Linked DNA regions of Arabidopsis thaliana. The protein of the gene in region 1 interacts with the protein of each later gene in a pairwise test. Each region holds a gene or a part of one and is shown on either strand. Other genes may lie near its edges. The genes, in order: MYB30, AT3G03000 and CXIP2.

Region 1 (4,591 bases):
GAATATTATGCCTCTTTATATTCCACCTCCATACTTATTATGATGATTCATATCCTTACACTTGAATGCGTTATGTGAAATAATATATACTAGTAAAAGAAAATACCAAATCTATTACAATATATTATAAAGTATACATCTCCCATTTTTGTGGCCGTCGAATTTTCGTATTACATAATTACATTCAATAAAAATTCGGATTTGCAACTTGGTACTAAAATATTATGGCAAGGAGTGATAATTCAATGTAATGATGAACTTGTAAAAAAAAAATTAAAAAAATTTCAAATCCAAAAGATACGAATCTAACCTGTAAACAAAACAAAATTACAAAGGATTACAAACTTGGTTCGACTCTCGAAATTAAGTAGCAAATTCTTGTACCTCATTTCAATTTCACGGTACAAATGTTATTTTTCTTTGAATATAATTTAATATTTCTTTAAAAAATATATCTATATTTTTAATGGATAAAAATTACTTCTTAGTAAATAAAAATAATACAAATGAAAACAGTAAGATATCTACTTACCGTTTTACTAATGGTTAAACAGAAAACGGGACATTGTACGTGGAAAAAAAACATACTTAAGCAGTTTTGTTTATGATTAAAGAAAGACCATGCATTTTCAAAGTGGTTATGTAGACAAAAACCTTTTCGAGTTTCATTCCATATGTTTGATTAAACAGCCTGTTTAACACAACTTTATTATTATATCTAACGTAAATCATAAACTTTCCACAAAGTGAAAATTTCACACTTGTACAAATTGTCATTCAAAATTCCTACCTATATAAATAAATTATAGCACAACATTGACAAAAGAGAAGAAATTAAAGTAGTCTCGTGTCTCTTCTTCTTCCTTTTCTTCCGGCCTCGTGAAAACCAAATTGATTTCATCCTTTTTACTTGTTGACATTTACATACATACACATGTTCACATAAATAGATATAGTTGTATATGACTTGTGTCTATCAATCCAAAATCTTCATTATCTACTATACCAAATTCTCATACAAATATCTCTTAATCTCTTTTCACCACCTACGATATTGACATATATAACGTACAATTAATTTCATCAAAACTTAATGTGGCTGTATGACTTGTGTCTATCAAATCCAAAAATCTTCATTATCTTGTATACCAAATTCTCATACAAATATCTCTATATTTCTTTTCACCACCTACGATAACGACATATGTAACGTACAATTAATTCCATCTAAAACTATGTTTACTATAAACTCAAATTGTGGTCCATTAACACTAATCGCGAACCTTACCCGAATAAAACGTTCAACATCATGTATTCATATATGTTTATGTAACGTAATACATATAAACGCATATAAATCTATATATGGAGAAGTCGCTAACATCATGAATGACGTAGACCATCATGTAGTTTGACAATGGCCAAAGACCCACTGGTTCAATCCAAAACAGCAATTTTTTCTTTTCTTCTATATCTTAAAAAAAAAAACTATTCGTTTTGATAAAAAAACAACCAAAACAGCAAATCATGACGCAGAGAAAATCTCGTTCGTCAAAAGACCCTTTCATTAATTTCTATTATTAACAAAGCCTATGCAATACACATAAATGCAATAGCCACTATTCAATTCTTAAAATTATCGTAGCAATAAATCAAAAGTGAGAGAGGGAGATATCATATCATATATCATTATCATGTTATCATGCATGTCCCCATTATTCTTTATTTTTTAATAATAACATAAACCAATAAATTATTAAACCCAATAATATTTTTTTTGTTTGTGTTATTAGGGTTTTTGAAAGAAGCAAGCCCACATTGAATGCCACGCGGTTTTGTATGGAGGGTAGAGACTTTTCCTTTTGCCACACAGCTGACTTTGGAGGCTTTACCTCCACTTTTGTAGTTAATGCTTTACACATTTTTTATATACTTTTATTTATTATCTATACAATTTGAGAGACCCAAGAGTCCAAGACCAAGAGGGGTCAGCAAATTTCTCTTTCTCCTTTTATATATATATATAGAAGAAGAAGTGGACATAGACCTTTGTCGCCAAGCTTAACCATTAGATCCATTTCAGAGCTAAGCGTACTAATTAGTGTACTAAGGGTAGTGTGACTCATTACCACCTAAAGTAGTTTCAATTTTCTTCTATTTTTCTTGGCAAAGAGTTATAGTGGGAAACAAAGGGAGTGGTTAATAAAGAATTAATTAGTTAATTAAGGGAGTTCAAGATCATAATGGTGAGGCCTCCTTGTTGTGACAAAGGAGGAGTGAAGAAAGGGCCATGGACTCCTGAAGAAGATATCATTTTAGTCACTTACATCCAAGAACATGGTCCTGGTAATTGGAGAGCTGTTCCTACCAATACTGGTATGTATAATCTTCATTCATCATCTCTCCTCTCTACCTCTCTATAGATTTGTATGTAGATATTATTTGGATTTAATCTATGAGAGTGAGAGATAGACAAGGAATCAAATTGGTTTGGATTGAAATTTGTGTTCTCCAAATTGGTTTTGATCTTCATTTGGTTCTTCTTTAGGTCTTTAAGATTGTGGAATCAGCTTAATGAAAACATATGTAGAAATTAGGGTTTTGTTTATTGACCATGAAATTAAGATCTAATGCATGAGATCTTGTTATTTATATATTTTCTCATCGGTTCTCAATATTTGTTCGTTCTTATAAATTTTCAGGGCTGCTTAGATGCAGCAAGAGTTGTAGACTTAGATGGACAAACTATTTAAGGCCAGGAATCAAAAGAGGCAATTTCACAGAACATGAAGAAAAGATGATTGTTCATCTCCAAGCCCTCTTAGGAAATAGGTAAAAAATAATAATGACTTTTCAATTTCTCTAATTTTGTCTCTTCACACATTTTCTTTCGAAAATTAGAAGATTTGTTTTGATTTTTAATAGAGAGCATTTAATATTTGGTGTAGATGGGCTGCAATTGCGTCATATCTTCCACAAAGGACAGACAATGACATTAAGAACTATTGGAACACTCATTTGAAGAAGAAACTCAACAAAGTCAATCAAGATTCTCATCAAGAACTTGACCGTTCCTCGCTCTCATCTTCACCATCGTCTTCTTCTGCTAATTCCAACTCAAACATCTCAAGAGGCCAATGGGAAAGGCGACTTCAAACCGATATCCACTTGGCGAAAAAGGCTCTCTCTGAGGCTTTATCTCCTGCCGTTGCACCAATCATTACATCTACAGTGACAACAACGTCTTCCTCTGCTGAATCAAGACGCTCTACTTCCTCAGCTAGCGGGTTTCTTAGGACGCAAGAAACATCTACAACTTATGCCTCAAGCACCGAAAATATCGCGAAATTGCTCAAAGGGTGGGTGAAAAACTCGCCGAAGACTCAAAACTCCGCGGATCAAATCGCTTCTACAGAGGTAAAAGAAGTGATCAAGAGTGATGATGGGAAGGAGTGTGCAGGGGCATTTCAGTCATTTTCTGAGTTTGATCACTCATATCAACAGGCTGGTGTTTCACCTGATCATGAGACCAAACCAGACATAACTGGATGCTGCAGTAACCAAAGTCAATGGTCTTTGTTTGAGAAGTGGTTGTTTGAGGATTCTGGTGGACAGATTGGTGATATTCTATTGGATGAAAACACTAATTTCTTCTGAAGAGTTTGCTTTAATCACATGGTTCTAATTTTAGGATCCTCATCTCTATTTTTTTTTTTGGGTTTTCCAAATTAACTCGCTTAGATTATCGTGAGATAAATCAGTAATAATTTTATTTATTTTCCCTCTTTAATTTACAATTAATGATGGGGTTGTTTTATATATGGCCCTGTGAATTCTGAAGGGGCCTGAAAAATGTCCACCCAATGATTTTAGTAGTATTGGTGTAAAATCCTATATCTATTTTTTATTTATTAAAATGTTGTTATTGCTTGATTTTTCTTTTGCTTTGTAACTTGTAAGTATGATTTACTTTTGAGATGTTAACCTAAAAGTAATTCTGTTACAAATTAAACATACACTGACAAAAAAATTACATATATATATTGGAGAATGACCAAAAAATGCTCGCTCATATCCGGATTAATTAGTCCTAATGTGTAGTAGCCTAGTAAGTGTGGGATATAGAATTAATAATCAAATACTTACAACTTGCACTTAATTGTCAATTTATTTTCCTTAAATTAACCGTTAACTCACTAAGGAAAACACTTAACATTTATTTTAGAGTGTCAAATGGCGCCGCTCAATAAATGAAATCTTAGATTTAAAGATAGCCTTACTATTGGTGAATTTGAAAGACCTACTAATAAAGAAAATAGTACTAGTAAAGAAAAATTAACGAAATATTTATTGCATGAAATAAATAGGGCCGACAAGGTTTAAAGAAACTAATTATAAAAAGATAAATATAAATTTTAAAAACGGGATGGATTGGCACTATAAATATTGAAAGTGATGAAGAATTAAAGTTTGACTTTCTTTCTTGTGACCTTGTGAGTTGTGTGACTTACATCACATAGTTACTAAGTATGAAGAAGTCAATATCGCCATTAATTTAGCTTCTCCTTTGGTTTTTAAGATATTGCCACTT
Region 2 (3,318 bases), about 10 Mb from region 1:
TAATGCACCTAGCCATGAATCTCTCTCAAGCAATAATGGTAGCTTTCTTTTGGGCGATGTTCCAAATTCTAACATTTCAGACAATGGGAGCTCCTCAAATGGATCACCTGAAGTTACATTGGCAGATGTTTCATCCATTCCTGCAGGCTTCTATCCTGCAATGAAGTACCACGAGCCTTGTGAAACAAATCAAGTCATGGAGACCAATTTGCCTTTTTCTCAAGGTGATCTCTTACCTCCAACGCAAGGAGCAGCAGCTTCTGGGAGCTCAAGTTCGGATCTTGTTGGATGCGAGACAGATAATGGAGAGTGTTTGGATCCAATAATGGCTGTTTTGGATGGCGCACTCGAACTAGAAGCTGATACCTTAAATGAGTTGCTTCCTGAAGTCCAAGATTCTTTTTGGGAACAGTTCATTGGTGAGAGCCCAGTGATTGGTGAGACAGATGAGTTAATCTCAGGATCAGTGGAAAATGAACTGATATTGGAGCAACTAGAGTTACAATCAACCCTGAGTAATGTGTGGAGCAAGAATCAACAAATGAACCATCTTACTGAACAGATGGGACTTCTCACATCAGATGCTCTCAGAAAATGAGATTGCCACAGGCCACAATCTTTCCTCACGAGGTAATCAGTCTATCTATATTGATATGTTATAAACCACACACTTTCCAAAATTTAAATTTTGTGCAAAACCAAACCCCTCGTCTTTGTCTTGTTATCGCAGATGGGTTAAGATTTTGTGGAGCCGCAACAACAAAAAGAATATGACCAAAGGAGGTACTATGTATGTATGTATCAAACTGTTGTAACTCTAATTCTTGTCAATGTATAATAAAATAAGAGAAATATTGCCTTAAAAGATTTTTGCATTGCAATATCTTTGTTTGTTACTGACAGAATGAAAAGGAGATGCTTCAAAGTGAGAGATATTCTTCTGTTCTTGTGTATGTCTTTAGAGATCCTTGTTTATTTTTGTTACATTAAGTGCAAAAATTGGCATTTTGGTTAACCTGTGGCCAAATCTTACCTGCTTTAGTGTTTTTTTATCAGTCCTTCACTTTTAGTTTCTTGAGTAAAACTAATGTTCCAATTTCGTCTAAAGGAAATCATCTAAAGAGAGAGTAAAAAGGAAGAACGTGTGTCGTGTGGATATAGTAACAAAGTGGTTTAAAAGGATCAAGTCATTGATTACACGGAATCAAAGTGTATGTACATGCATATGTTAAGCTCTGAAACTGCAACCGAACCAGATCCATTTGTCGTTTGTATCAATCTTAAACTTGCTTTTAACATTACATACAACATTACATATGATATTACCATTAGTTGTAATTTATATAGCTTATATGATATATATCTATTTCTGAAAACTATATAAATATTTTACATATGATAAATTTCACAGATATCTCATGGATATATTGCTTTAAAAGAGGATATGAACATTAATAAACATGTAATTTGTTAAAAGAATTGATAAAGACCATATATTAAGGATAAAATAGTTACTCTGAAAGAAAATTTGAACATTCATGCATGCAATATATAACGTATGTCGAACACTCGATTCATATATAGCTAACAAATGTCGAAAATATTATCTTCTTTAAAATACGAATCAAAGCTATAACATTTTTCTATTGTCAAGAAATCTTTTGGCATCCATTTCTACAAACCAGTTCCGGTGAATTAACGCTTAGCACGACTGTTTTCCCTCCACCGAACAACCTTTGACCGTTCCAATAATTGGTTCAATTAATAATTTAATTTAAAAAATTTCGTATTCCATCCACAATCATTTATTTGATTTAAATAAAATAAAATTTTTATTCTCTTGCTCATTAATAAGAAAATCAAAATCTTTACTCGTTTGAAATTTGTAATCCATTACCTGTCATCGTTGACTTGTCAAGAAGAAACAAATCAACTCTAAAAAGAAAAATGTTGTTCATCGAAATCGAAGCTTGACAGTATTCAAAATCAGATTCGAGATGAGCTGCGACGGAGGCAAACCGGCGCCGGCGAAACTAGGCGACGAACAACTAGCGGAGCTCCGGGAGATATTCCGATCATTTGACCAGAACAAGGATGGAAGTTTGACGGAGCTCGAGTTAGGCTCACTTCTAAGATCTCTCGGTCTAAAGCCGAGTCAAGACCAACTCGACACATTGATCCAGAAAGCAGATCGGAATAACAACGGACTGGTCGAGTTCTCCGAGTTCGTCGCCCTCGTCGAGCCAGATCTGGTCAAGTGTCCTTACACGGATGATCAGCTTAAAGCCATCTTTAGAATGTTTGACCGCGATGGAAACGGTTACATAACGGCGGCGGAGTTAGCCCATTCGATGGCGAAGCTAGGTCACGCGTTGACGGCGGAGGAGTTAACGGGAATGATCAAAGAAGCTGATCGAGACGGCGATGGTTGTATTGATTTCCAAGAGTTTGTTCAAGCGATTACTTCAGCTGCGTTTGATAATGCTTGGGGTTGAAGAAAGAAAGGTATATATATACATAGTTTGAAATACTTGTGTTTTGTTTTTTTGGCTTCATCCTCAAATCAAAGACATTTGGAAGTATATGTGTGTAGGTGCGATTCCATGGAAAATGTGTGTTATTTATTGTTTCATATTATTCTTTGATGAAATTTTGATAGCTTGAAGAGAAAGCTATCATTGTTGGTTTTAGGGCAAGAAAACTTTGCTATGCGTGTGAGTCACTTCTCCACCCGTCGCTTTAGCCACTTTAGTTTATGGAGATAAAGGTCTCTCAATATGCAAAACAAAAGAAAGCATCAAAACTGACTCTTTATCTTTATATGTATGGGGGATAATCAGCAAATATCGTATGATTATGATCTTCTAGTAAGACAATTGCACAAATTCATGTAAATTCGAAAACGATCCCCAATAATGGTTAAGGAGAAGGGAAAACAAATTTGTCACCGAGATATGTCAAATGATTTGTGAATCCAAGAGTTATTACATAGATTTAGCCCACATGTCTTCTTCAACCAGTCCTGCACGAGTTACATAGATTTAGCCCACATGTTGCTAACAACTAACAATCTTTGAGTGTATACGCATTCATTGACTATGCTAAATGCTAGAACTCAGAATAAACAAACATTTGAAATGGATATTACAAGCAGTATTCCCGGAAATATATAGTAATTGGTAGCACGATATACAGTGACATCAATACTATTTTAGCAAACGACCACTAACTATAGCAAGAAGTGAAACACTTATGCTGTATATTTTGATTAGCTGTTGCGCAGGAATTAGACTCTCCTTAGGACAAAATCAGTCAAAA
Region 3 (4,319 bases), on another chromosome or scaffold:
TGGAGTAACTATTTTTCTTCAGCTTCGAGAGTCAAAGGGCATGACTACTATCACGCTACGACCACATTCTGGAGAGGTGTGTTATTTCTTCCTTTGTGCTAGATAAACAGTTTTCAGTTACAGTTCAGTGGAATTTTAACATGTCTACAAATTTCAGGCTGGTGACATTGACCACTTGGCTGCTACGTTTCTAACATGCCATAGCATCGCACATGGAATCAATCTGCGAAAGTCTCCTGTGCTTCAGTATCTGTACTACCTCGCCCAGGTTTGTGGAGACTGCCTGCATGTATTACATATGTATTATTGTTTCTGTTCTAAGAAGACATTTCTTTTGACAGATTGGTCTGGCCATGTCACCACTGAGCAACAACTCTTTGTTTCTAGATTACCACCGGAACCCGTTTCCTGTGTTTTTCTTAAGAGGTCTCAATGTTTCTCTGTCTACTGATGACCCCCTTCAGATTCACTTAACTAAAGAACCTCTCGTGGAAGAGTATAGCATAGCTGCATCAGTAAGTCATAATCTTTCCATTATGCAGTCTTGCCACACATCATAGGCCTTGAAAAGTTGATTATATTTTTAAAAGTCTTATTAGTTATTACCTTTAAATGATTTATACTGATCTTCTGCAATTGCAAACACGAAGAACAATGAAATTTCTCTCTATACATCCTTTTCTTCTAGGTTTTAGTTATATTTATGTATTAACTGAAGATGATAACTGGATTTTTCAGGTTTGGAAGCTGAGTGCGTGTGACCTGTGCGAGATAGCTCGTAACTCAGTGTACCAGTCAGGTTTCTCACACGCCCTGAAGGTACTTGTTATATCAACATGGCCCATAGTATGAATGAACAAGATGTCTCTGTTCCGATCTACTAATAATACTAACTTGTTGAGATGTTCCAGTCGCACTGGATTGGAAAAGATTACTACAAAAGAGGACCTGATGGAAACGACATTCACAAAACAAACGTGCCACACATAAGGGTGGAGTTCCGTGACACGGTATGGAATGAAATATATTTATTCTTCACACAAGTTAATTTCTCTTTGTAGGAAAACAAATTAAAAATATGAAGTTGATGCAGATCTGGAAAGAGGAGATGCAACAGGTTTATCTGGGCAAGGCTGTTATCTCTGATGAAGTTGTTCCATAAAAACCACAATCAGAAATGGCAAGACGTAAGAATCCAACATGTATGTAACAACTCAATGATCTTATCACTTCTGTTACAACATTTTCTTATGATGTCAATGATTGAATTTCAGATTGCAGGGGAACAAAGAGAGCATTTTGAGAAGTATACGAAAGCAGGAACCTAGTAGATAGGGTAATAATATGAGTGGCTCTGTGCCCTGAGAAAGCGATTAGGCTGTGCCAAAATCTTATTGTTTTATAAAGCTTTTTAGATAATGAGATACAAAGAGACCAGTTGAGAACCGGTTTTAATATAATGGATTTCAGTTTTTGGATTACATACTGTTTTAACTTGGATTCAGATTCAATTTTTAATCAGAAATAGCATTATGTTCGAAATCCAATTTTGTTTGTTTGTTTTGGTTCTGTTTTAAACCATACTGAGATCTGTTTACCGGATTAAACACATGTTTTTGGGTCACATTGGTAGATTTGGCTTGATCATGAAGTGAACTAGACAAATGTTCCTTTTGTTTCATAACAGACTGAAGTATGGAATGTGTAAGAAAAAAGAAACTAAAGCGGGTCCCACTTTTCCGAATTATGGTATTTAAAACCCAAGTATCATAAGGCCTTAATAACAGTCCAATTCAGGCCCAATGGATAAAATCCTATGTCAAATAAAAGAGCTCATCATTTTCCACCGATAACTTTTCTCAGCTCCGACAAAAATGGCTGCAATCACCATTTCTTCCTCCTTGCACGCCTCAGCCTCTCCGCGTGTTGTTCGTCCACATGTTTCTCGAAATACCCCTGTGATCACCCTCTATTCACGCTTCACACCATCCTTCTCCTTCCCATCTCTCTCCTTCACACTCCGTGACACAGCTCCGTCTCGTCGTCGTTCCTTCTTTATCGCCTCCGCCGTCAAATCTCTAACGGAGACGGAGCTGCTTCCAATCACAGAGGCTGATTCAATCCCGTCCGCTTCCGGTGTATACGCTGTATACGATAAGAGCGACGAGCTTCAGTTCGTCGGAATTTCTCGGAACATCGCTGCGAGTGTCTCTGCTCATCTCAAATCTGTGCCGGAGCTTTGTGGCTCCGTTAAGGTACTTATCCATGATTTCATATAGAGGAGTAGCATGTCTGTTACTATAACGAAGGATTCTTTGTTTTGTTGTGGTTGACTTTTGTTTATTACTGTTCATAGATTTGGGAAGTGTTTTGGTAAATGAATACTACAAAAGTTCATCACTTTAGTTCCAGAGATAGTATTTCATATCATTAGGATCACTATTGTTTGCAAAACTAGAGCTAATGAAGTTCTTGGTTCTGTTGTTGGTAAGAGTTCTTTTAACAACACTTACCACACATTATGATTAGGAGATGCATCAATAGTTCATTTTGTATATGTTACTTAGGAGTTAGGACTTGTTTTTTTAGCATTTTCTTTTGATTAGTTTTTTAGGGAAATTCTACTCTATAGATACAGGACAGTGCGCATTGGCGAGATTTGTCGAGGTTTGAGAGGTATATCGGTTTTGTACCAATGGAGAGAACTGATTCTCTTTGGCATTTTGATTACCATTCTGTGTCAGGTTCTTTTAATTAATAACAAGAGCTTTTGTTTTTTTTGTGTCCATGATCCTTAACTGTATCAGCTTACAACAGTCAAATCTAAAGATTGCTCTTGAGAAATTTACATTTTTATGGGTTGTATTATTATCTTAAGAATTTACATTTTTCCTCTTTCTATCATTTATTTGTCACTTATTGCTTATATTTTGCTTATGATTTACTTATGTTATGATTATTTTAGTGTTTATTTGCTCCATTGACTCAATAGGACTTTGTTTATGCTCATGTGATGGATATTGACAAGTTTTGGTATTGTTGATATATCTTCCATAACTGATTTCATCATTGTTTTGCTAGGTTGGAATAGTAGAAGAACCAGATAAAGCAGTTTTAACACAAGCATGGAAATTATGGATAGAAGAACATATAAAAGTAACTGGAAAAGTTCCGCCGGGGAATAAGTCAGGGAACAACACATTTGTCAAACAAACTCCGAGGAAGAAATCCGATATCCGTCTCACTCCAGGTCGCCATGTTGAGCTCACGGTTCCTTTGGAGGAACTGATTGACCGTTTAGTGAAAGAGAGCAAAGTGGTAGCTTTCATAAAAGGATCAAGGAGTGCTCCTCAATGTGGATTCTCACAGAGAGTTGTTGGGATTCTTGAAAGCCAAGGAGTTGATTATGAAACTGTTGATGTTCTTGACGATGAGTATAATCATGGGCTAAGGGAGACGCTTAAGAACTACAGCAATTGGCCAACGTTTCCACAGATATTTGTGAAAGGAGAACTTGTAGGAGGATGTGATATTTTGACCTCAATGTATGAAAATGGTGAACTTGCCAATATCTTGAACTAGTTTCATCCGATTTTCTTCTCTATTTCTAGTTGTAACTCCAAACATTCATTATAGAGAAAACATGCTTGGATTCTCTTCCATAGTTACAGATTCGTTTTCTGTTTTCCGCATTTATAAAAGGTTACAGATTCTATACAAATCTAAGAGTAGGTTTAAAACGCATAACCATCCACTAAATTCACCTATTTTGTGGTCATTTAACCAATGATTTTTTTTTTTTTTTTTTTACACTAATTGTCCCTTTAAATATATATGTTGAAACAAAACATAATTGGAAATGGAGTTAAGTAACTATTGTTACGTTAAATGATTTAATTGATTAATTTAGTAGCATTCTTATTCTTGTAGCACGTTTATTAGAGAATTATTGTTCTTCTTTGACATAATCTTTGGGTGAACTAACACAAAATATTCATTTTAAGTACTAAATTCTCATTTGTAGGATGAATATCTCAAAAATAACACAAATATTCTATGGTATTCATTTGTTACAACTTATATGAGTAACAAACGTTCATGAAAATTGAAAAATATGATGATGACGAGGTTAGTTTATGGGTTGTATTTTCTTTTTATTTTTTTTTTGGAAACTGAAAAAAATTAAATGAACAAATAAAACAACAAGTCAACGGTCTCAAAAATTCGATTACATAAAAACAAAACAATAAAAAAATATAAGTCAGACTGTAAAATAAGTTGATAGGTGTTGATTCTGAAAATCACACAATAAATTTGTT

The links.
Region 2: the proteins of MYB30 (region 1) and AT3G03000 interact in a two-hybrid assay, tested with the Arabidopsis thaliana proteins (one large-scale study listed by BioGRID).
Region 3: the proteins of MYB30 (region 1) and CXIP2 interact in a two-hybrid assay, tested with the Arabidopsis thaliana proteins (one large-scale study listed by BioGRID).

Annotation. Positions count from the first base shown.
Region 1 is NC_003074.8:10,909,200-10,913,790, forward strand, and holds MYB30 (myb domain protein 30), read left to right. Parts: upstream 1-1,932; 5' UTR 1,933-2,243; coding exon 2,244-2,376; exon of another isoform or gene 2,377-2,702; coding exon 2,703-2,832; intron 2,833-2,948; coding exon 2,949-3,657; 3' UTR 3,658-3,991; downstream 3,992-4,591.
Region 2 is NC_003074.8:675,391-678,708, forward strand, and holds AT3G03000 (EF hand calcium-binding protein family), read left to right. Parts: upstream 1-1,849; 5' UTR 1,850-1,997; coding exon 1,998-2,495; 3' UTR 2,496-2,790; downstream 2,791-3,318. Other genes in the region: HSFA1E (heat shock transcription factor A1E), read left to right, coding at 1-598. UniProt on the Arabidopsis thaliana protein: Potential calcium sensor that modulates ion selectivity of NHX1.
Region 3 is NC_003071.7:16,030,610-16,034,928, reverse strand, and holds CXIP2 (CAX-interacting protein 2), read left to right. Parts: upstream 1-1,759; 5' UTR 1,760-1,874; coding exon 1,875-2,255; intron 2,256-3,081; coding exon 3,082-3,582; 3' UTR 3,583-3,744; downstream 3,745-4,319. Other genes in the region: FAC1 (AMP deaminase, putative / myoadenylate deaminase), read left to right, coding at 23-76, 158-268, 342-515, 739-819, 912-1,010, 1,094-1,162. UniProt on the Arabidopsis thaliana protein: May only reduce GSH-thiol disulfides, but not protein disulfides. Participates probably to the maturation of iron-sulfur proteins and to the regulation of the redox state of the BOLA proteins.